Linked DNA regions of Mus musculus. The protein of the gene in region 3 purifies or fractionates together with the protein of the main gene of each other region. This does not show direct contact. Links are inferred from orthologs where the notes say so. Each region holds a gene or a part of one and is shown on either strand. Other genes may lie near its edges.

Region 1 (4,832 bases), on a different chromosome or scaffold from region 3:
CCCTTCCCACCCTAGTCACCTTTCAGTATCCCTTCACCCACAGCCCTCTCCTCATTTGGGTGCCCTTTGCCCCTCTTGCCCCCATCCACATGCTCTCTGGTAATCTCGCTGATCCCAAGGGGAAGGGTGGACCTCGATGGGAAAGGCATTTGCCTCCATCTATAGTCGGGCTCCACCCAGCCTCTGACACCTGGGTCATATTGGCAACCCTAAAGCTGGGGTGTCCTGGGACCAGGGCTCTATGTGGAGCCCTTCAGCCCAACCCTCCCTGCCCTATGACTTCTGTGGAGTTGTCACCATAGTGGTCTTGGAAAGTCTCTGGTTTCTAGCTTGGGGTATTGTGTCCCTCCTGTCTTCCTTGGTGTGGTGGGAGTCTCCTTAGAAGGCAGCTGTGATGTCCAGTGCCTGAGCTCCCCAAAGTGCATGGATTGGGGTTCAGGGTATGGGAGGGGTGGAGCAGGCTTTAAAACAACTAAAGGTGTGGTAGTTTTTACTAAATCTGCACAGAGGTGGAAGAGAGGGAAAGAGAGAGAGAGAAGCCTAGAATGACACAATTACATGGTCTTGCTGTTTTCTGGGTTGGACCTCTCCCGGGGTTTGGGATGGGGAACCTGAGCAGGGTTCCTGTATTGACTGACCCTCTCAAGCTGTTCTGGGGTTAGGGGCCGATCGGCCCCTCCTGGAGCATGGGGAGCATTCTTTTGGATCCCAGGTGTATCCCCTGTGTACTGGCCTCAGGCCTGTTGCCACTAGTGGGAGGGCATATGGATCCAGGTGGAAAGCCTGACCCCAGGACTGAGTGCTGGGCCTGTACCTAGTGGAGCGTAACTGAGGCAGTGGTGAGCAGTAGGTGCTTTTGAGGCCTTGAGGCCCACTGTTTAGGTTGGGCAGGATAGATAGATCCAGGTCTCCCAGCCCGGGCGCAAACATTCCTCTGACATTCAGAGGCTCCCTTTTTTCCTTCATCCACTTGTCTCTAGATGATGTGGGAAATGTAGTGTCTCCCTCTCAGGGTTCCCTGTAGCTTTAGTTGCCCCTGTGGTGGTGGGTGTGGGGTTGTGTGAGTGTTCAGGTAAGCTTGGGGTCTCCAGGTAAGCAGTCCCGTGTCCCAACCCCCACCCCACCCCCGGGAAGCCCGCCTCCTCGCCAGGCCCCCAGGAGTTGCCGGCCCCCCCCATCCCGCTCGGTTTGGACACCCGCAAGGCCGGCATCGGTAAATGGCACCTTTTTCTCTTCCTCTGGTTGTTATTGGGGGGGAGTGGGCAGGGGTGGGGCAGGGTATTGTGGTTGGTGAGCACAGCCCCTTAGGCCAGGGCTGGGACCTGGACAGGGACTTTTTGGCCTTCTTAACAGCCCTGCCTGATCACAGGCCTGGGCTCTGGGCCTTCCCACTATGTCTTATGCTCCTCAACTTCCCTGAGGGTTCAGGCAGGGCTGCATGCCCTGCTGGCCATTGACCTCGGCTTGGAGGACAGAGCTGGCCAGGCTAGGTGGTGGCAGGGTCAGTCGGCTCAGGTAAGGCAGGGATTTTGAGTAGCACGGTACATGTCCCTTTGAGTCCAGCCAGGGTCCTTGGAGGTCCCTGGGGAGCTCAGCACCCACCTATATCCCTGCCAGTTCCTGAAGGTCTTTCCACTCCTGTTCATTTCTGTTCTGATGTCTCTTTCCTCACACTGACCTCCCCTATAAAAACACACAGAAAAACAAAAACAAAAAAACAAAAAAATAATCTGGTGTGGTCTGGATGTGGTGGGGCCCAGTGGGCCTCCTGCCTCAGCATGGTGTCTAGGGTGCATGCCTGGGTGTGGAGGAGCCTAGCCAGCCTCCTGCCCAGCATGGTGTCTAGGGTGCATGCCTGGGTGTGGAGGAGCCCTCCCCACAGCAGAGGCCAGCATTCAGCTAACCTCCAGTTTCTTTGCAGCAATTTGGCCGCCCTGGCAGGAGGGGGCTGCTCCATCATGTGAAAGCTGGGGGAGGCCAGAGTAAATGTTTTACCCCCCCAATAGCACTTGGGGGTGCCAAAAAGGAATCAAGCACCGGATGGAGCAGGCCCTTCAGGGTGGGGAGAGGGCGGTCTGGCTGTTGGTTGCCTGGCTGACTGGTGGGAGTGTGAGTGTATGTGTGCAGATGGGGTTTGAGGGGCAGGGATGCTGTTGTATGGAGCCTTGTCTGACTAGAGGACCTTCTGGGGAATTCCCCCTCCCCCACATCTGTTGCAGCCGCTTACAAGCACGCAGATGGCAAGAAGATAGATGGCAGGAGGGTCCTCGTGGATGTGGAGAGGGGCCGGACTGTGAAGGGCTGGAGGCCCCGGCGCCTAGGTGAGTGCAGTATTCCTTCTGGGTGCCTGGGCCTGTGATTAGAGATTATTCTTCCTTCAGTCTCCCCAACCCATACGCCTGTTCCTCTCCATTTCCAGCTTGTCTTCTCATCATCTTCATGGCTTTGGACACTGGTGCACACAGACACCTACACATGAGCACCCAAGCATACCCTGGTCTTTCCTGCATGAGTGATTGACCAGCAGCAGTTCTTGTGCAGTGTGGGTAACTTCAGCACTGACCTCAGCCACCTTATGCCCATATACTTGGTATCATGGGCTGGGTTGGAGGGTATCACTGGCTCTAGCTTTGCTCTTGCTCTCACTGAGTGGCTTCTTCATTCACTCTCTAGCTGAGTCACCAGCCCAATTCCTGGCTTCACATCTGAAGCAAGAAAGCAGCAGCCTGTGCTCTGACCTTGCATCTGACCCTCCTGGCCTTTCTGGTGGTTGTGGGCTGTCTCCATGGGGGTTGTTGTGGCAAGTCTTGAAATATATCTGAGGGTCTTAAAGCATAAGGAATAGAGGTGCCTACTGATGCCAGGCTCTTGTTTCAGTCCCATGATTGTGATATCATCAATAGATCCTCACCAAGACCTTGAGACTGGACTTGGAGAGTTTGCTGCTCACTCTGTCAACAGGTGTCACTCTCTAAGCTATTTGCTGATGCCTCAAATTAGGCCCTGGCTGGGTTTAGGTCTTTTGTGTGAGTAGCTTCACTCTGTCTTAGGCAGTATTGCCTGGCTCTGCTTTCACCTGTGCACCTGTGCAGAGGTGACCTACCATCCCAACCCCCAGGGACCTCCAAGTCTTTTATTTATTTATTTATTTATTTATTTATTTTAAAGATTTATTTATTGTTATATGTAAGTACACTGTAGCTGACTTCAGACACTCCAGAAGAGGGCGTCAGATCTCATTACAGATGGTTGTGAGCCACCATGTGGTTGCTGGGATTTGAACTCAGGACTTTCGGAAGAGCAGTCAATGTTCTTAACCACTGAGCCATCTCTCCAGCCCCTTTTTTCTTTTTTAAAAAAGGTGGATCCTTTAGGCTGACTGCTGTGCTGAATGAAGTCTCAGAAACAAGACAGTTGTTGTGGTTACAGATTTGTTGATATTAATATAGTAAGGTATGAGCCCGCTTCACTCCCATGGACAGACACTTAGCCTAGGTGAGACTTTGGGCAGCATTTTTGCCCATGTGCATAAAGGTATTTGTTACTATTTGTGTGAGGATCTGAGATATGGTCTTAACTGTGAAGCCCAGGGTAGCCTCAGGCTCTTGGTGATCCTCCTGCCTCAACCTTTAATGAACAAGATGTTTGTTTTCTCTCAGTTTCTGAAGTTTCAGACTGAGTTAACTATTTCTGTTGCTTTTAGACTTGTGACAGTTAGATATGAAGAGTGATGGAGGGACGGAGTCTACTTAGGGTGCAGGAAGTGAGTGTTTATTTTGAAAACTGTTGACATTGTAGCTGTCTTTGGCCACTTTGTGGGTTCTTTTTTCAACCCTATTCTTCCACCCTTTCATCTCTGTAATACATAAGAGAGGAGGGGGAAAAGAATAGAGAGGAGTGGAAAGAGACCCCTGAATACAATCGGATTGAAAAGGAGACTACCTGCAGATTAGGGGCATTGAGTTCCTTGGGGCAAGTTTGATCTTCACCATTAGGATATGTAATTTCTTCTTGTTGTCTCTTATTTGTACCTGACTACTTAAGAAACCAACAACCTACCCTCTTGTACAATCCAGGATGCGTATACCCTCTGAAAAGTTCTCAGAATTCCAAATGCCACACAATCACAGTAACTATCCGCAGCTGGCAAAACCATGCCTCTTATAGGCATGAAGCAAACCCGCTGATTCAAAGCAGTCCCATATGCCCACACCTGGGATGAAAACAAAAACATGTTCTTATAATATTTCTGTGGGTTTTTTTGGTTTTTTCGAGATAGGGTTTCTCTATGTAGCCTGGCTGTCCTGGAACTCACTCTGTAGACCAGGCTGGCCTCAGAAATCTGCCTGCCTCTGCCTCCCGAGTGCTGGGATTAAAGGCGTGCGCCACCACTGCGCAGCTGTTTCCTGTTTTTTTTGTTTGTTTGTTTTGTTTTGTTTTTTTTAAGCAACCCAAATTACAGAACTCTTACTATAGACATTTTCTTGTATTGATAATGGCCTAGCTCATTGTTAGACTGTGATCCAGCAGCTGGAAGTCTGGGTCCTGCTTTGCAGTAGTCCAACCTGTTATCTATACCTAGTTTAACAGCCTAGCATGTGGCTGACCTCTTCGCTTTGCCTGTGCTCCTGTGTGAAACACAGCCCCACCTCACTAAACCTTCAGGTGGATGGTGCAGGAAACCACCACAGGCAGATGGGATTCTGAGACATGACCCTCCTTGCCAAGTCACTGGGGCAAGTGGCTCATTAGTAGATCCCTGTCTGAAAGATAAGACTGTCACCTGCTCCCTTGTGCTATTGGTTGGGTGAAAATCACCTTTATAGACCACG
Region 2 (5,514 bases), on a different chromosome or scaffold from region 3:
TTCTGGAGGCGGATGATCAAACACTTGAGACCATGCATGACTGCAAGGGGAGTTTGAGGCCGGCCTGGGATGTGTGCAATCAGGACTCAAAACAATAAGGAAAGGACACAATAAGGAAAGATAAAAGTTTTTATCTATGATTATACACTGCATTTTTCTCTTACGATGGAAAAATAACCTCCCATACAACTAGAATAGAATTTAGAGAAACATCGTAGGAATGTGGTTGTGTTGTCAGAAGGGAAACATTTCCCCCCCTTCAGGTGAGAGACCTGGATTGCTAAGTTGCAGTGACTCTCCCATCTCAGCATCTCAAGTAGATGGGACTACAGGCACATTACTGTGCAAAGTGAAAAAAGATGATTCAAACAAAAAACGGTGTGTGTGTGTGAAAATATAGTTGAGTGGTAGGACTGGTTTGCTCAAAGCCTTTCTAGTATGCATTGCTCTTCCCATACATCTAACCAACGATCGCAGGTCATCTAATAAGTATAGGGCTCTCAAATGGTGTGAATTAGCTAAAGAAGAGTAATCTTAGTTTCTTGGTAATCAATCTCATGTCCCAAGACCATGTAGGGGGAAATATACATGTTAAGCAAGCTCTCTACCACTACTATTTCTCTTGTCTTCTTTTTGAGACAGGCTTTCAGTAAATTTCCCAGGCTGCCTTGAACGCACTCTGTTGCTCAGGCAAGTCTTGAAGTTGCAGTTCTCCTCGGCTGGGCTTGTGTTCTTGCCTTTCACCCACCTCCTGGCCTGGAGACTTGGGAGTTCTCACTTTTCGATGATCTAAACTAGTGTTTTCTGTCTCCTCTAGATAGATCCTTTGCAGGTGAGGTCATGTGCAGTTATTCTCCCAGCCTGTCTCATCCGAGTTTCCCTTACACCTGAAGGTTCACGTTACACAGCTCCTGTTGCTCTCTTGAAGTCTTGTGATGCCCTTCTACTTAACACCCTTGCGCAGACTTAAAAGGTCTGAGTTCTGCACGCAGTCTCTGCACCTTTCCTTTGATGACACCCCCCCCTTTTAAAAAACAAACTGTTCAAACTGGATTTAGCCTCCTCAATGTTGCACTTGAAAGAAAAGCGTATTTTTGCCTGTAACCTCTTGTGATGGCTTTCAGAGGCTTACCAATTGTGGTACCTACCGTGGCACCGCCCAAACAATAACTCTTATTGTTAATTTCTAGGGTAGGTCAGTCAGATTCGGAGAAACTCGGGACATCATCCGTATTCTGCTATGTTGCAGGAATTCTCTTAAACGTCACCCATTTACCTCTGTAAGGGCACACGGGATGACCCGGGCGTGTCTCCACCTTGGGAGAGGCCCGTTGGTCGGTCGGGCGCAGCGCTCTGGGGCTGCGTCCTTCGCGCCCCTGGCAGTCTCAGCCTTCCCTCGCGAGGCGCCGCACACCGAGCGCCTCTCGTGCAAGGGCGAGGGGTTCGTAGAGTGCGAGTCCGTTAGGCAAAGTGGGGTACAGGACTAGCTCGGGCACTGGCAGCCCATGTGGGTCGGGACTGACCCCCTAAAGCGGGCAGGTAAGGGGACTGGTCCCAGGCGCCCCACGGAGATCGGGGATTTGGGCGCAGGGGGCGGGGCGGTACCCAGAGGAGGTTTGGCACAACCCGGCCCTCCAGCTCCTACGCGTTCTGAGGAGAAAGGGCATGGCTTCCTTTTCTTCGTGGTGTCTTTCAAAACCGACAGGAGCGCGGATGAAAAGCTGCGGATTAAGGGTAGAACTACCGCCCCTGCAAACCTGAACGAACTCTGGATTACTACCCAGTCCCTGCGGGGAGCTGATTAGCGCCATTCCCCTCCCCCACTCCGGCGGGTAGGTCTAGAGAACGGTTTGAAGGTAGCCGCATGCGCATTAAGTAAAACAAGAAACCGCTGAGACGCCAAGCGCAATAATTGCAAAAAGGCGCAGGCGCAGAAAGAAAAAAAAAAAACAACCAAAAACACCTCGGTCAGTTTATGAAGAGGGCTGAGCCCAAACGCATGCGTGTAATAATAGGACGGCGGGAGAGAGCTCGGGGTTTCTTAATACGCATGCGTCCAATCTCTCTGTGACGCAAGTGGGGCGGGGCCGGCAACAGGGTGCGCGTGCGCAGAGCTTGCTGGAAGGGCTTTATTTAGCCTGCGCAGGCGCCCGCTTATCATTTCTCCTCAGCCACGCCGAGGCTTTTTGTGGAGGTGAGTGACTTTCCGTCTTCGACTGCTGCCCGAGCTCTCCACGGACACCTCTTTGGGTGACGATTGCTTGTCGCTGAGCTTAGGTTCTAACCTGAGGGGCCGTGGCAGGCGCAGGCTGCCCCTGGGAGCCGCGAGTGTCTCGCCGGCGTGGCAGCGCCGCCTAGGCCTGCAGGCCGCGCCGCTTTCTATTGTGTGAGATGTCTGAGGAGGCGGAGCGGAAGCGGCGGCCGCCATTTCCTCGTCTCAACCGTGGCTGTGGGCCAGGGTCTTATTAGCTTGGCGCCTCGGCCCTGGGCGCACTGGGCGGCTTTGGGCATCGGGTCGCTAGCCGAGGCCGGGTTGCATGCTTGAGTCTCCGGGGCCCAGGCATCCTGACGGGCGGGACTCGCATGGCGGCGCCCGGTGCCCGCTGTGCGCCGTGAAGTGGGAGGGCCATTTAAATGCCTGTTTTCTCAGACGCGTTCCTGACCCCCACCCCCACCCCGCAGCCCCGCAATCTGTGTGGACGCCAGGACCACCGAAGGGACGATGATGCTGGGAGCAGAAGGCGGAGAGGGCTTCGTGGTGAAGGTCCGGGGCTTGCCCTGGTCCTGCTCCGCGGATGAAGTGCAGCGCTTTTTTTCTGGTGAGTTGAGGCGGGAGTTGTCAGTGGGGCCCGCGGCTGGGCCGGGCCGGGCCGGGTTGGGGCGGGGCGGGTCTCCCGGGCGCCCCCTAGCGAGTCGCGGCCACCAGCGGTTTCCCCAGGCGGCTCGCGCTCTGTTGGCCGCTGTTACGCAATGGTAATTGCGAAATCCGCACCCCCCCCAACCCCCTTGGGGATGCTGGTGGCCCTGCTGAATTTGTTTTCTTTTAAAACTTTTTCTGTCTCTATGCATCAATCTGTGCATTCTGGAGTAGTCTAAGAAAAATTTAAGTAGGGAAAGATGTGATTTCTTCTCAAGTCGTGTAAGGTTTTGTAAAAAGGTACTTGTAGTGTTGACCTTACCATCTGAATTTAGCTGTGGTAACAGAAAACGATCTGTAAATCGAGCCCCAAGTATACTGCAAGCAATTGCAGGGGGCCGTTGCCGTCCGGGTTTGAGTTGAACTGCAGCTTGGAGCCTTTAGTTGTTAACATTGGTCCCTTTTCGGATGAATATTGAGCTGGAGTTTGGATTTGAATGAAATTGTTATGTGGTTGCTGATAGAGGGAAGCTGACATGGTACCCAAACAAGAAAATGCTGTGAAGTCACCAGATCCAGATGAGATTATTCTGAGATAGTGTACCAAGAGATGGTTAATGGAAACTTAGAGGCAAGGTGGTAGCTTCATTTGAACTTTTTTTTTTTTTTTTTTCGAGACAGGGTTTCTCTGTGTAGCTCTGGCTGTCCTGGAACTCTGTAGACCAGGCTGGCCTCGAAATCAGAAATCCGCCTGCCTCTGCCTCCCCAGTGCTGGGATTAAACGCGTGCGTCACCACTGCCCTGCTCCATTTGAACTATTTTTGAGCATTGAGTTACCTTGTTGGACTAGGAATATATCCTGTATATGAGATAATTTGATCGTGTTCTGCTTGGTCAGTCTTTTTAGGCATGTTTTTTTTTTTTTGGTGTGTGTGATGACAGGAATATGCATTTTATCTGTAGTGGTTTTAAATCCTGTATTAAGCGTTGTTTTCTTTTCAGACTGCAAAATTCAAAATGGGGCTCAAGGTATTCGTTTCATCTACACCAGAGAAGGCAGACCAAGTGGCGAGGCTTTTGTTGAACTTGAATCAGAAGATGAAGTCAAATTGGCCTTGAAAAAAGACAGAGAAACTATGGGACACAGATATGTTGAAGGTTTGATTTACATTGCCCTAGTAACAGTAAACGTTTAAACACATAGAGGTCTTACCCCTTCTGAATTTTAGGTATTTGACCGCATGGAAATGGTCATCTAAGGGAGTTTATGGCAGCTCTTCCTAGTTATCTAAAAGCCCAGGAAATCTGAACTTTGTTCTCCAACTTAATTGACTAATTCTAAGCACCTCTTTCAGTATTCAAGTCAAACAACGTTGAAATGGATTGGGTGTTGAAGCATACTGGTCCAAATAGTCCTGACACAGCCAATGATGGCTTTGTACGGCTTAGAGGACTCCCTTTTGGATGTAGCAAGGAAGAAATTGTTCAGTTCTTCTCAGGTATGTAGTCCTGTTTGTTGCTGAGCAGTGAGGTATGGCAGCTTCTGGCGACATGAATTAGTATTAGTAGACCTTTAAAAAGTTGAATAGTCTAGGTACTTAAAGTAGGCTGTTGAATATATGTTGTTGAATTCACATTTTCTTCCTGGAGACCTTCAAATAACTTAAGCCCATCTTAAAGGTGGAAATTAGAAGTATTTCCAAAGTGTTAACTTTGCCTATATTTAGTATTGTAGTTCAGAGTAGACCTTTGAGGATTCTACTCAGCCATCTTAACTTCCTCATATTGCTGTTTAGCAAAGTACTTCAAGTTAAAGGTAAGCTCTTTTAACATTAGATTAGTGTGAGTCTAGATTGTTACAGTTTATGGTGTTATAACTTATTTTCCGTCATGGGACCAGAAATATTTTAGCTAGTGTAATTCTCTGTATGAAAATTGTTATGAAAGGAACTTGGCTTAGGTAGCCTATTAGAAGTCAAAAAAGTAAATTGTAGCAAGTGTAGGTTGAATGCTTGTAGTCTCAATATGAAAGCAGTATAGAAGTTTTTGAAGTTGTTCTGGGCCTAAAGTATTTGAATGTTTTTATGTTGAAGAGCTGATAGGATTTGCATGCTTAGCAGAATGTTAAATCTTGTATATTTTAAGTACTATTAATACTCTTGATGACATAGACAGAATTAATCAAATATCTTAATAGTTTTTAGCATAGTATGTATTAGAACTTTGACTAGAACTTTATATATGTATCAATTTGTAATATTTTATAGTTTGAAATCAAGTCTGTTTTGTTTTATCTAAATTGGTGAGAATTGAATGCTATCTGTCAACGTTAAATATGAACATAATTTCATATCTTCTAGGAAAGTGCTTTAAGGCCTTTTTGTAAGCTTGGGAATGTATCCACGGGAAGGATTTTTCATAGACGGAATTTCCAGAAGTGAATCATACTACTGTTAGAACATAAGAGTGCATGATTGCTTTGTAGATAGTTATTGTTGAAAGTTTAGTTTGTATGTTTGTCAATTATGATTTTTAAAATGTTTTCAATTTTTACATAAACTGTTTAAATGTGTAATTTTAAAATTGAAGTTCCAATAACTTAAAAAGAATTGAAATATATGAGGTTAAAAGGTTTCTTATTTTACTTAAATTGTTAT
Region 3 (4,832 bases):
GCTTTCCACACAAGCCTGGTGACCTAAGTTCAAACCTCAAACCCATGTAAGGGTGGGAAAAAAGAACCAACTCCACAAAGTTGTCCTCTAATCTCTATACAAGCACCTACACAGCAAACACATACACACACTTTTTTTTCCTAATGGTTACTACAGTCATCTTTGCTTATCCATTTACAAACAAACAAAAATATGATCTTTGCTCCTGATCATTTGAAAAGTTTTAGTTTTTTGAGCATACAATTTATAATAGTCTAAAATCATCACTCTCCTTAAAAACTGTTCAAATGGGAGTAAATTTTTTTTCTTGTAACTCTAATAGTCAACCTAAAACTCTCAAATCTCACAGTAACACTCCCCAAATAAAGAGCGGACACCGACTATCTGAGGAGCTACCCCCTTCAGCCTCACTCCCACTCCGATGCTCAGGAGACTCCTACAATGCCTGGAACCTCAGCGTGGGAGGGAGAGGCTATACAACAAGTTCAAGTCAGTCATAGACTATGAGACCCAGCAAAGTACACTTGTCACACATCCTGATAATCTGATTTCTGTCCCCAGAACATACAGTGGGAGAACAAAAGCCTTCACCCCACCCTCCACATGCCTATACTCACACACACACATCCTCTATCACACACTCCAAAGGAGATCCCATCTCAAAATAAATAAATAAATAAATAAATAAATAAATAAATAAATAAATAAATCCTGTACCACTCAAGCTAGCTTAAATTTGTTACAAAAAGGCCACAACTTCTTTTGTTTTTAAAAAACTCATCAAATACTGTGCACTGTGTTCCTGGCACTAAATATAGACAATGAAACCATCCAATCAGAAAAAGTCCCTGCATAACTGACTTTTTGTCACCTAGTTTCTCCATTTAAGGATCCAAGAGTGCTACAACACTAGGGAGAGAGGGAGGTGTACAGGGCTGCAGGGTGTGGGAGGGACGCAAGGAGCAGGGTGCTTGCTGAGCACACAGGAAATCGGGGTTGGACCCTCAGCACTACATAAACTGCTGTGGAATAAACTTATCATCTCAGCTCTTTGGTGGTGCCAGCAGGAAAATTGTAAGTTAGCTAGTTCTAGGACAACTTGAGCTACATAAAACTCTTTCTTAAACAACAACAACAACCCAAAAGTAGAAAGGCACTCGGATGGTAGTAGAGCACTCCTCTTACCCTAGCATTTGGGAAACAGAAGCAGGAGCTATCTCTGAGGTCTAGGCCAGGCCAGCCTAGACTACAGAGGGAGTTCCAGGATTGCCAGGAATGCACAGTGGAAAAGGGGGAAAAAAAAAGTCCAGAGAGAAACTTTTAAAAAAGCCTAAGAGTCACTCACTTTCCCACTTTCTCTCTCTCTCTCACTCTCTCTCTGACTCTCTCTGACTCTCTCTCTCTCTCTCTCTCTCTCTCTCTCGATTCTAATCTACACTCTCCTTCATGGGATTCCCTCCCAGTCAGAATATTTCTCAGTCATTTCTAAGTGCATTTTGTGTTGAAAGAAAGCAAAGTACTGACATTACAAAACGCAAATGATTGAGACATGATGACTCACCCCAGCACAACCCCAGCATTCAAGAGGCCACCCGATTACCAATTGTTCAAGGCAAGCCTGATCTTCACAGAGTACTTTAGGCCAGAAAAAGCTACATATAAGACTTTGTCTTAAAATAAAATAAATATGAGCTGAGTCCAATAGCACATGCCTACAACCCCAACACTCAGAAGGGAGGCCCCATCGTCAAGGTAGTCTGGGCTACATACTAAGATATCACATCAAATGAAAGATTTAGGTCAGAAGAATGGCATAGAGGCAGAACACATGCTCAGAATGAATGAGGCCCCAACTCAATCCCTAGCACAAAAAATTTTAAAATTCTGCAAAATTAAAAACAACTGCATCCGGCTGGAAAGATGGCTCAGTGGTTAAGAGCACTGACTGCTCTTCCAGAGGTCCTGAGTTTAATTCCCAGAAACCACATGGTGGCTCACAACCATCTGTAATGGGATCTCATGCCCTCTTCTGGTGTGTCTGAAGACAGCTACAGTATACTCATATATACAAAATAAACAAATCTTGAAAAAAAAGATTTCTAAACCAAGGTCAGTTATCCTTGCTAATAATGACACAAATACACATAGATACTACCAATATAACACTAGCCACACTTTGACAGTAATCAAGTACTTTACCCACATCATAAGCTGGATTATACAGTTAATAGATTGGAAAGATTTTCCCACAAAGGGCTAAAAGCACTTACCTCTGTCCCAATCCCAGGCTGCACACCCGAGTACACACTGTCTGGTGGGGGACCGCCATACTTCCTCTGTCCCGTGGTCACATCCAAAGTATAACCAGTCCTCTCAAGCAAGGCCTAGAGATAATTACACATGTTAAACTTGAAAGTACAAACACACACACAAACTGTCACATCTTTGAAATGCATTTTATGATGAATTAAAAAGGAGCAGCTGGAAATAAAGCATGCATGCACGAGGCACCAGATTCTACCTGCAGTGCCACATAAACCCCAGAGATGGGGCCAGGCAGCAGTCGTGCATGACTTTAATCCCAATACCTGGGAAACAGAGGTAGGCAGATCTTTAAGTTTAAGACCAGCCTGATCTACTCAGTGAGTTCCAGGACAGCCAGGGCCACACAGAAAAACCCTGTCTGAAGCTACCCCCCGAAAAAAAGAAAAATAAAAGTGAGGGGCTAGAGAAATAGCTTAGCAGTTAAGAGTTTACTGCAGAGGGCACAAGTTTAGTTCACAGCACACATGTGAAATGTCTCATTATTAACTGTCTGTAACTCCAGGTCCAGGGGGTCCAATACCTCTTCTGGCCTCCATAGACACTGTAGTCCTGCATACAAACCCACACTCAAACAAACACATATACATATAATTAAAAACAAGAGTAAACTATTTAAAAGAGGACGGCTGGAGAGATGGCTCTGAACTAAAGCGCACCTGCTGCTCTTGCAGACCTTCGGAGTTTGGTTCCCAGTACACATGGCAGCCCACAACTGCCCTTAACTACTCCATTTGTCTGCTTCATACTCTTACCAAGCTACAAGCTCAACACAACTGGAATATCTCACAGGATACTCTAAATTTGGAAACTTCCAAATAAATATACTCTGATTTCAAAACATGAATCATTATTTGAGAGCCGGGCATGGTGGCGCATGCCTTTAATCCCAGCACTCGGGAGGAGAGGCAGGCGGATTTCTGAGTTCGAGGCCAGCCTGATCTACAAAGTGAGTTCCAGGACAGCCAGGGCTACACAGAGAAACCCTGTCTCGAAAAACAAAACAAAAAGAATCATTATTTGATTCCACCTCACTAACACTAACTAACAGAGGTCACAGAAACAATGTTCTTGCCCTCAAAAAGCTTGCACGATAGATAACATTCGTATGAAATTTCATATGAAAGGTCTATAGAATATCTTTTGTTGGCAAACAAAATATGCACTCTACCAAGAAAGAGAAGGGCTCTGCATGTTAGGTATGTAATTACAAAGAGCACCAGCAGATTCATGTTTGTTAGAGTTAGTTAACCCTGGGATTCCACAGGGAAGAATGTCTTGAACCTTCCATTTTTCTACCAGGGGAAGGGGGTTAGTCAGCCAATCAGGGTTGTTACACAGTAGTTTGGCATTTGTTTAAGAATGGGGCTAGATCAGTTTATAAACAGATGAGAATGGAGGAGAAAAGTATAAAGGCACTTTACAAAGTTAGTTATACCCAAGCCTGAGTCACCAGGGCAAACAACTCTAAAACTCAATACCATTCCAATTAAATCTTTAAGGACAGCTTAGGATAGAGCACTTGATTAGCATGTGTAAAGCCCTGGATTAGGTCCCCACCACTGCAACCTTGACAAAACCCCTTTAACAAGGTCTTTTAGGAAAAGCCTTTTTGACTTTCAAAGCAATTTATCTAAGTTAATAATAATAATAATGACCGGGGAAGGTAGTTACTTTACATATGAATTCATCTAATCTTCACAACTTAAGGAGGTAGGCAAAACCAAAACCATTTTATAAAATCAAAAAAGGTCAAAGCCAGCCGGGCAGTGGTGGCGCACGCCTTTAATCCCAGCACTTGGGAGGCGGAGGCAGGCGGATTTCTGAGTTCGAGGCCAGCCTGGTCTACAAAGTGAGTTCCAGCCAGGGCTATACAGAGAAACCCTGTCTTGAAAAACCAAAAAAAAAAAAAAAAAAAAAAAAAAAAAAAAAAAGGTCAAAGCCGGTTTATAAATACACTGAGGTCAGAGAAAATTCAAAAGGAGGAAAGCAGTTAGAATACCACAGCTCTTCCCTAAGGCCTTTCACTTCAGCACTCAGTAGGCTGAGGCAGGATCACCTTGTTGGGAACCAGTCTGGGCTATAAAATGAGTTCCAGGCCAGTTTGAGCTACATAATGGTACCCTGTACCAAACAAAATATATATATATATATATAAAAGAGTGCTTATAAAGCAATAATAAACATGCCCCTCCCTCTTTGTCAGAAGACTGAGGATCAAGGAAGAGTCTGAACTAGACATTCCCATACTGTGACTCTTTTACCTTGATTTTTGCTTCATCGGGCCCTTTCGTGGACTCTTGTACCTTGCTGCCTTGTTTCTCTCTTTGCCTGTAGGTCTTCATAACTCCACATAAAAATGCACTTTTGTTCTAAAAGATGCAAGCAATTCAAAAGGAAGAATTACCAGGAATCTCTGAAGGGTCAAATACACAATAAATTTAAATTTAAATGATAGCATTTTAAGACCAACGTTTTAACAAAAATATTCATTCCATTCATTCAACAAA
Region 4 (4,832 bases), on a different chromosome or scaffold from region 3:
TCCAGGGTTTGTTTTTGTTTTTTGACTTGTTTGCTCCAGGCATCATATTTGACTTGTCACAAGATTAAATACTAATACCACATTTATTGACATCACTCACAAATAAGTATTTTCCTACAGAACTTGATGCTTTAGATGCCAATGATGAGTTGACTCCTCTTGGACGAATCCTGGCTAAACTCCCCATTGAACCTCGTTTTGGAAAAATGATGATAATGGGGTGTATTTTCTAGTAAGTTTTTTGTTTTATTTTTAATAGATTGGATTTAATAAAGACAAGATGATCTGGTGTTAAAAAAAATCTTAACTATAGTCATTTATAGTAAATATTAGTTTTGTTATTAATTTTTTTCCAATTTTTTATTAGATACTTTCTTCATTTACATTTCAAATGCTATCTGAAAGTCCCCTGCTCCCTTCCCCACCCACTCCCACTTCTTGGCCCCGGCGTTCCTCCCTACTGAGGCATATACAGTTTGCAATACCAAGGGGCCTCTCTTCCCAATGATGGCGGACTGGACCATCTTCTGCTACATATGCAGCTAGAGACACGAGCTCTGGGGGTACTGGTTAGTTCATATTGTTGTTCCACCTATAGGGTTGCAGACCCCTGCAGCTCCTTGGGTACTTTATCTAGCTCCTCCATTGGGGGCCCTAATATTAGTTTTTATTTTGGAGTTCTTTGATGAGTTCAGGGATAGAGGCAGTATCCTAGCCAACAGAAGATTCAGTCCACATTTGAAGGTCTTCTAGCAAGAAGACTTAAACTGTTATACTACTCTTGTTTCAGTGTGGGAGATGCTGTCTGTACCATCTCTGCTGCTACCTGCTTCCCAGAACCCTTTATCAGCGAAGGAAAACGCCTGGGATACATACACCGGAATTTTGCTGGAAACAGATTTTCTGATCACGTGGCTCTTTTATCAGTATTCCAAGCCTGGGATGATGCTAGGTAGGAGTTTATAGGCAACTCTGTAAGCTATTTGAGTATGTAATTCAGCTTGCTGAGCCTTTGAGAGTGAATGCTTTTTCTCTTTTGTTTAGGATGAGTGGAGAAGAAGCAGAAATACGTTTTTGTGAGCAGAAGAGACTCAATATGGCTACACTGAGAATGACTTGGGAGGCCAAAGTACAGCTTAAAGAGATTCTGATTAACTCTGGATTTCCCGAAGGTATTTATAAACTGGTCATTGTGTCTCATGTTGGTAACTCTAGATCTAGGGGGCTAAAAGCAGAATAAAATCAGTGATAATTCAAAGATAGTCTGAATTAGTTGTAATACCCATTCTCAATTATATAGAAAGAAACTCCCCTAAAAAGATAATTTGTGAGTCATGGCAATAAACTACAGGTACAGGAGAATATTTATGATTCTCACCTATTTGAACATACATATTTTTATATGATGGATGAGACACTTATTCAACTTTGTTTATAGCAAGTTGAGTTCCAACTGGATTAAACTTTGTGAACTGGAGTGGGCTTAACCAGAAACAGAATATATGTTAGTACCAGAAAGTAGAATTTTAAAAGGTTATAGTTGAAGTAGGTTTGTTTGTTTGTTTGTTTGTTTTGGGGGTGTTGTTTGTTTATTTTTGTTTTTTTGTTTTTGAGACAGGGTTTTTCTTTATAGCCCTGGCTGTCCTAGAACTCACTCTGTAGACCAGGCTGGCCTCAAACTCAAAAATCCGCCTGCCTCTGCCTCCGCCTCCCAAGTGCTAGGATTAAAGGTGTGCGCCACTGCCAACTGGCCTAATTAATAAGCACACCACATAGTTCCACTGGGGCTCAAACTCAGGACCTTCTGCATATAAAGCAGATGTGATAACCACTACCCTATGGAACCAGGCATAGGGACTTCTTGAATTGTCGTTTCATCTGCTTTGCTAGTAATAACAGCGAATGCATTTCTCAAAGTTGCTCTGTGTTGGGAAAGTTCTAAGAAAGTTGTCAGAGGGCTTAGAGAGTCATGCTGTTATTTAATTTTTACAAACCATTTTCCCAAAATTTTTTTTTACAGATTGTTTATTGACACAAGTGTTTACTAACACTGGACCAGATAATAATTTGGATGTTGTTATCTCTCTGCTGGCTTTTGGTGTGTACCCCAATGTATGCTATCATAAGGAGAAGAGAAAGATTCTTACCACTGAAGGGCGCAATGCACTTATCCACAAGTCATCTGTGAACTGTCCTTTCAGCAGCCAAGACATGAAGTACCCATCTCCTTTCTTTGTTTTTGGTGAAAAGGTAAGAGGATTAGAGAAGTCTGAAAGATGAGAAATGTAATGTGACTAATTACCTATCAATGTGTGACATTTTACATTTTCTTTATTTACAGATTAGAACCCGAGCCATCTCTGCTAAAGGCATGACCTTAGTGACCCCCTTACAGCTACTTCTCTTTGCCTCCAAGAAAGTCCAGTCGGATGGGCAGATTGTGTTTATAGATGACTGGTAGGGACTTTCAGTCGTAATCTTCAACCTGAATTTTTAGAATAAAGATTTCTTAGAATAATGTGTTTAATAATAGTCCTTAGAGATGTTCTTAGTCTGGTATATTATATACTTAGAACTGGACATTTTTTGAGATGTTTGTATGTTCATACTGAATGTTACTGTTATTACATTCACCTAGGTTTGGGGCATGTCTTAATTTTAATGAAATAGTTAAATTTATGCCACGACTTTAACACATGGGAGGGCAGTTTGTCAGGTATTCATCTGCCTCTTTCTGTATATGTTTCCAGTTTTATGTCTTGTTTTCCTTCATCTTAGGATCAGACTGCAAATATCTCATGAAGCTGCAGCATGCATCACAGCCCTCCGGGCAGCCATGGAAGCTCTGGTTGTTGAAGTGTCCAAACAACCAAATATTATCAGCCAATTGGACCCTGTAAATGAACATATGCTAAACACAATCCGACAGATTTCTAGGCCCTCAGCTGCTGGTATCAACCTTATGATTGGAAGTGTAAGGTGAGTACCTAATTTTATGTGTCTAGCTTTTGCAGACCTAGAATTATTAAAACTAGTTGGTAGAGTCCTTGATACTTAGGTTAAAATTATTTAACATTAAATGTGGGAGTTTAATTTGACTCAGAACAAAAGATTTCCTTTTTTCCTATAAATTAATTTACAATGCCATATGAGAAATAAAGCCCTAAAAAGTAGAACAGATTAAAAGTCTGAAAATGATGTAACCTAGATGAGGCCTTTTCCTCCATACTGTGGAATCTCAGATACAGTATTATTCCTTTCTCAAATAGAAAGGTCAGTGTTTATTTTACTGTCTGCCTTAAGAAATTTCTCTTCAGTGGTCACCCACCTGCATTTATAAGAAAGGAATGTTACAGTGTATGTTTGTGTTCCTTATTTATGCTTATTAGTTTTGAGTATTTCAATTTTAATCACTTTTGAAGTAATAAACACACTATGAAAGATCCTCTGGATCTTTTATCAAGTTATCTGCCTTTAATTTTAGTATAACTGAACTGTTGTTATGATTTATTACTCTGGCTTCTTTAACATGAACAAATACAGGTAGGGAGTCATGAGGAGTTTCCACCAAAGTCATTTGTACAGGAAAACACTTGATAAAAAAAATACTGTGAATTACAGGAACTTTGTGGTCTATGGAAAAATACTGAAAGGGCTGTTTATACCACATGAGTCTCATTATTAGGTCAAAATTAATTCACTGTGATTGCTAATTTAGTGTGCAGAGCACAGCTAAAATGATTTTTCCCCCCCTAGGTACGGCGATGGTCCACGACCTCCCAAGATGGCCCGATATGATAATGGAAGTGGATATAGAAGGGGATATGGTGGGGGAGGATATGGTGGCGGAGGATATGGTGGCGGATACGGTAGTGGAGGCTTTGGAGGAGGCTTTGGAAGTGGGGGAGGCTTTGGAGGAGGCTTTAACAGCGGTGGGGGAGGCTTTGGTAGTGGTGGGGGAGGCTTTGGCAGTGGTGGAGGTGGATTTGGTGGTGGTGGAGGAGGCTTCAGTGGTGGAGGAGGTGGTGGATTTGGTGGTGGCAGAGGAGGTGGAGGTGGCGGATTTGGGGGTAGTGGGGGCTTTGGAAGTGGTGGGGGAGGGTATGGTGTTGGAGGTGGTGGCTATGGAGGAGGTGGTGGTGGTGGCTATGGAGGAGGCAGTGGAGGATATGGAGGTGGGGGAGGGGGTTATGGTGGTGGGGAAGGTTATAGTATAAGCCCCAACTCTTACCGTGGGAATTATGGTGGTGGCGGGGGAGGGTATAGAGGAGGTTCCCAAGGAGGCTACAGAAACAACTTTGGTGGAGACTACAGAGGGTCCAGTGGAGACTACCGGGGATCCGGTGGGGGCTATAGAGGATCTGGAGGATTCCAGCGAAGGGGTTATGGAGGTGGTTATTTTGGACAAGGAAGAGGAGGAGGGGGTGGTGGTGGCTATTAAGACTGGACTCTGTCGGAGCCTGTGCATACAGTTGAAAAATGCATGCTGTATGTTTTTCCAAGATGTTTATTTGCACCAAAAAAGTAAACCCATTTCCCACTTAATCTGTAGTTCATGTGTAGTTTCAAGCAACAAATGTAGACTAGTGATTTTGTTTTATATTGTGTAATGTAAAATATGACCTGTTATACAAGTATCATACATACAGTTTGTATTTTTTTTTCTTGAAGGGGTAAAGGTTTGCCTTTTAACTTAACTTGACATTTTCTTGGTTTTCATTTAATAGAAAATAAAGTATTATACTGAAAATTGATTGTGTCATTGATGTTCTTTTTTACAGAATAAGAGTTGAGCCTATATTCCCCCCTTTTAATGTTAGGGTCTCAGTATA

The links.
Region 1: the proteins of Hnrnpr (region 3) and Snrnp70 purify together in Homo sapiens (affinity purification with mass spectrometry; 3 studies listed by BioGRID and IntAct, with this or other methods). This does not show direct contact. The link is inferred for Mus musculus from reciprocal best matches to the Homo sapiens genes HNRNPR and SNRNP70.
Region 2: the proteins of Hnrnpr (region 3) and Hnrnph1 fractionate together in Homo sapiens (co-fractionation; 3 studies listed by BioGRID and IntAct, with this or other methods). This does not show direct contact. The link is inferred for Mus musculus from reciprocal best matches to the Homo sapiens genes HNRNPR and HNRNPH1.
Region 4: the proteins of Hnrnpr (region 3) and Dhx9 fractionate together in Homo sapiens (co-fractionation; 3 studies listed by BioGRID and IntAct, with this or other methods). This does not show direct contact. The link is inferred for Mus musculus from reciprocal best matches to the Homo sapiens genes HNRNPR and DHX9.

What each region holds. Positions count from the first base shown.
Region 1 is NC_000073.6:45,378,206-45,383,037, reverse strand, and holds part of Snrnp70 (U1 small nuclear ribonucleoprotein 70 kDa), read left to right. Parts: exon of another isoform or gene 1-2,219; coding exon 2,220-2,321; intron 2,322-2,419; coding exon of another isoform or gene 2,420-2,520; exon of another isoform or gene 2,521-2,542; intron 2,543-2,877; exon of another isoform or gene 2,878-2,961; intron 2,962-3,703; exon of another isoform or gene 3,704-4,229; intron 4,230-4,832. UniProt on the Homo sapiens protein: Component of the spliceosomal U1 snRNP, which is essential for recognition of the pre-mRNA 5' splice-site and the subsequent assembly of the spliceosome. SNRNP70 binds to the loop I region of U1-snRNA.
Region 2 is NC_000077.6:50,375,609-50,381,122, forward strand, and holds the start of Hnrnph1 (heterogeneous nuclear ribonucleoprotein H), read left to right. Parts: upstream 1-2,069; 5' UTR 2,070-2,194; exon of another isoform or gene 2,195-2,250; intron 2,251-2,627; exon of another isoform or gene 2,628-2,682; 5' UTR 2,683-2,722; coding exon 2,723-2,819; intron 2,820-3,859; coding exon 3,860-4,015; intron 4,016-4,212; coding exon 4,213-4,356; intron 4,357-5,514. UniProt on the Homo sapiens protein: This protein is a component of the heterogeneous nuclear ribonucleoprotein (hnRNP) complexes which provide the substrate for the processing events that pre-mRNAs undergo before becoming functional, translatable mRNAs in the cytoplasm.
Region 3 is NC_000070.6:136,316,946-136,321,777, reverse strand, and holds part of Hnrnpr (heterogeneous nuclear ribonucleoprotein R), read right to left. Parts: intron 4,695-4,832; coding exon 4,587-4,694; intron 2,385-4,586; coding exon 2,271-2,384; intron 1-2,270. UniProt on the Homo sapiens protein: Component of ribonucleosomes, which are complexes of at least 20 other different heterogeneous nuclear ribonucleoproteins (hnRNP). hnRNP play an important role in processing of precursor mRNA in the nucleus.
Region 4 is NC_000067.6:153,455,678-153,460,509, reverse strand, and holds the end of Dhx9 (ATP-dependent RNA helicase A), read left to right. Parts: intron 1-120; coding exon 121-232; intron 233-790; coding exon 791-952; intron 953-1,044; coding exon 1,045-1,172; intron 1,173-1,773; exon of another isoform or gene 1,774-1,846; intron 1,847-2,020; coding exon 2,021-2,250; intron 2,251-2,341; coding exon 2,342-2,457; intron 2,458-2,778; coding exon 2,779-2,979; intron 2,980-3,756; coding exon 3,757-4,441; 3' UTR 4,442-4,752; downstream 4,753-4,832. UniProt on the Homo sapiens protein: Multifunctional ATP-dependent nucleic acid helicase that unwinds DNA and RNA in a 3' to 5' direction and that plays important roles in many processes, such as DNA replication, transcriptional activation, post-transcriptional RNA regulation, mRNA translation and RNA-mediated gene silencing.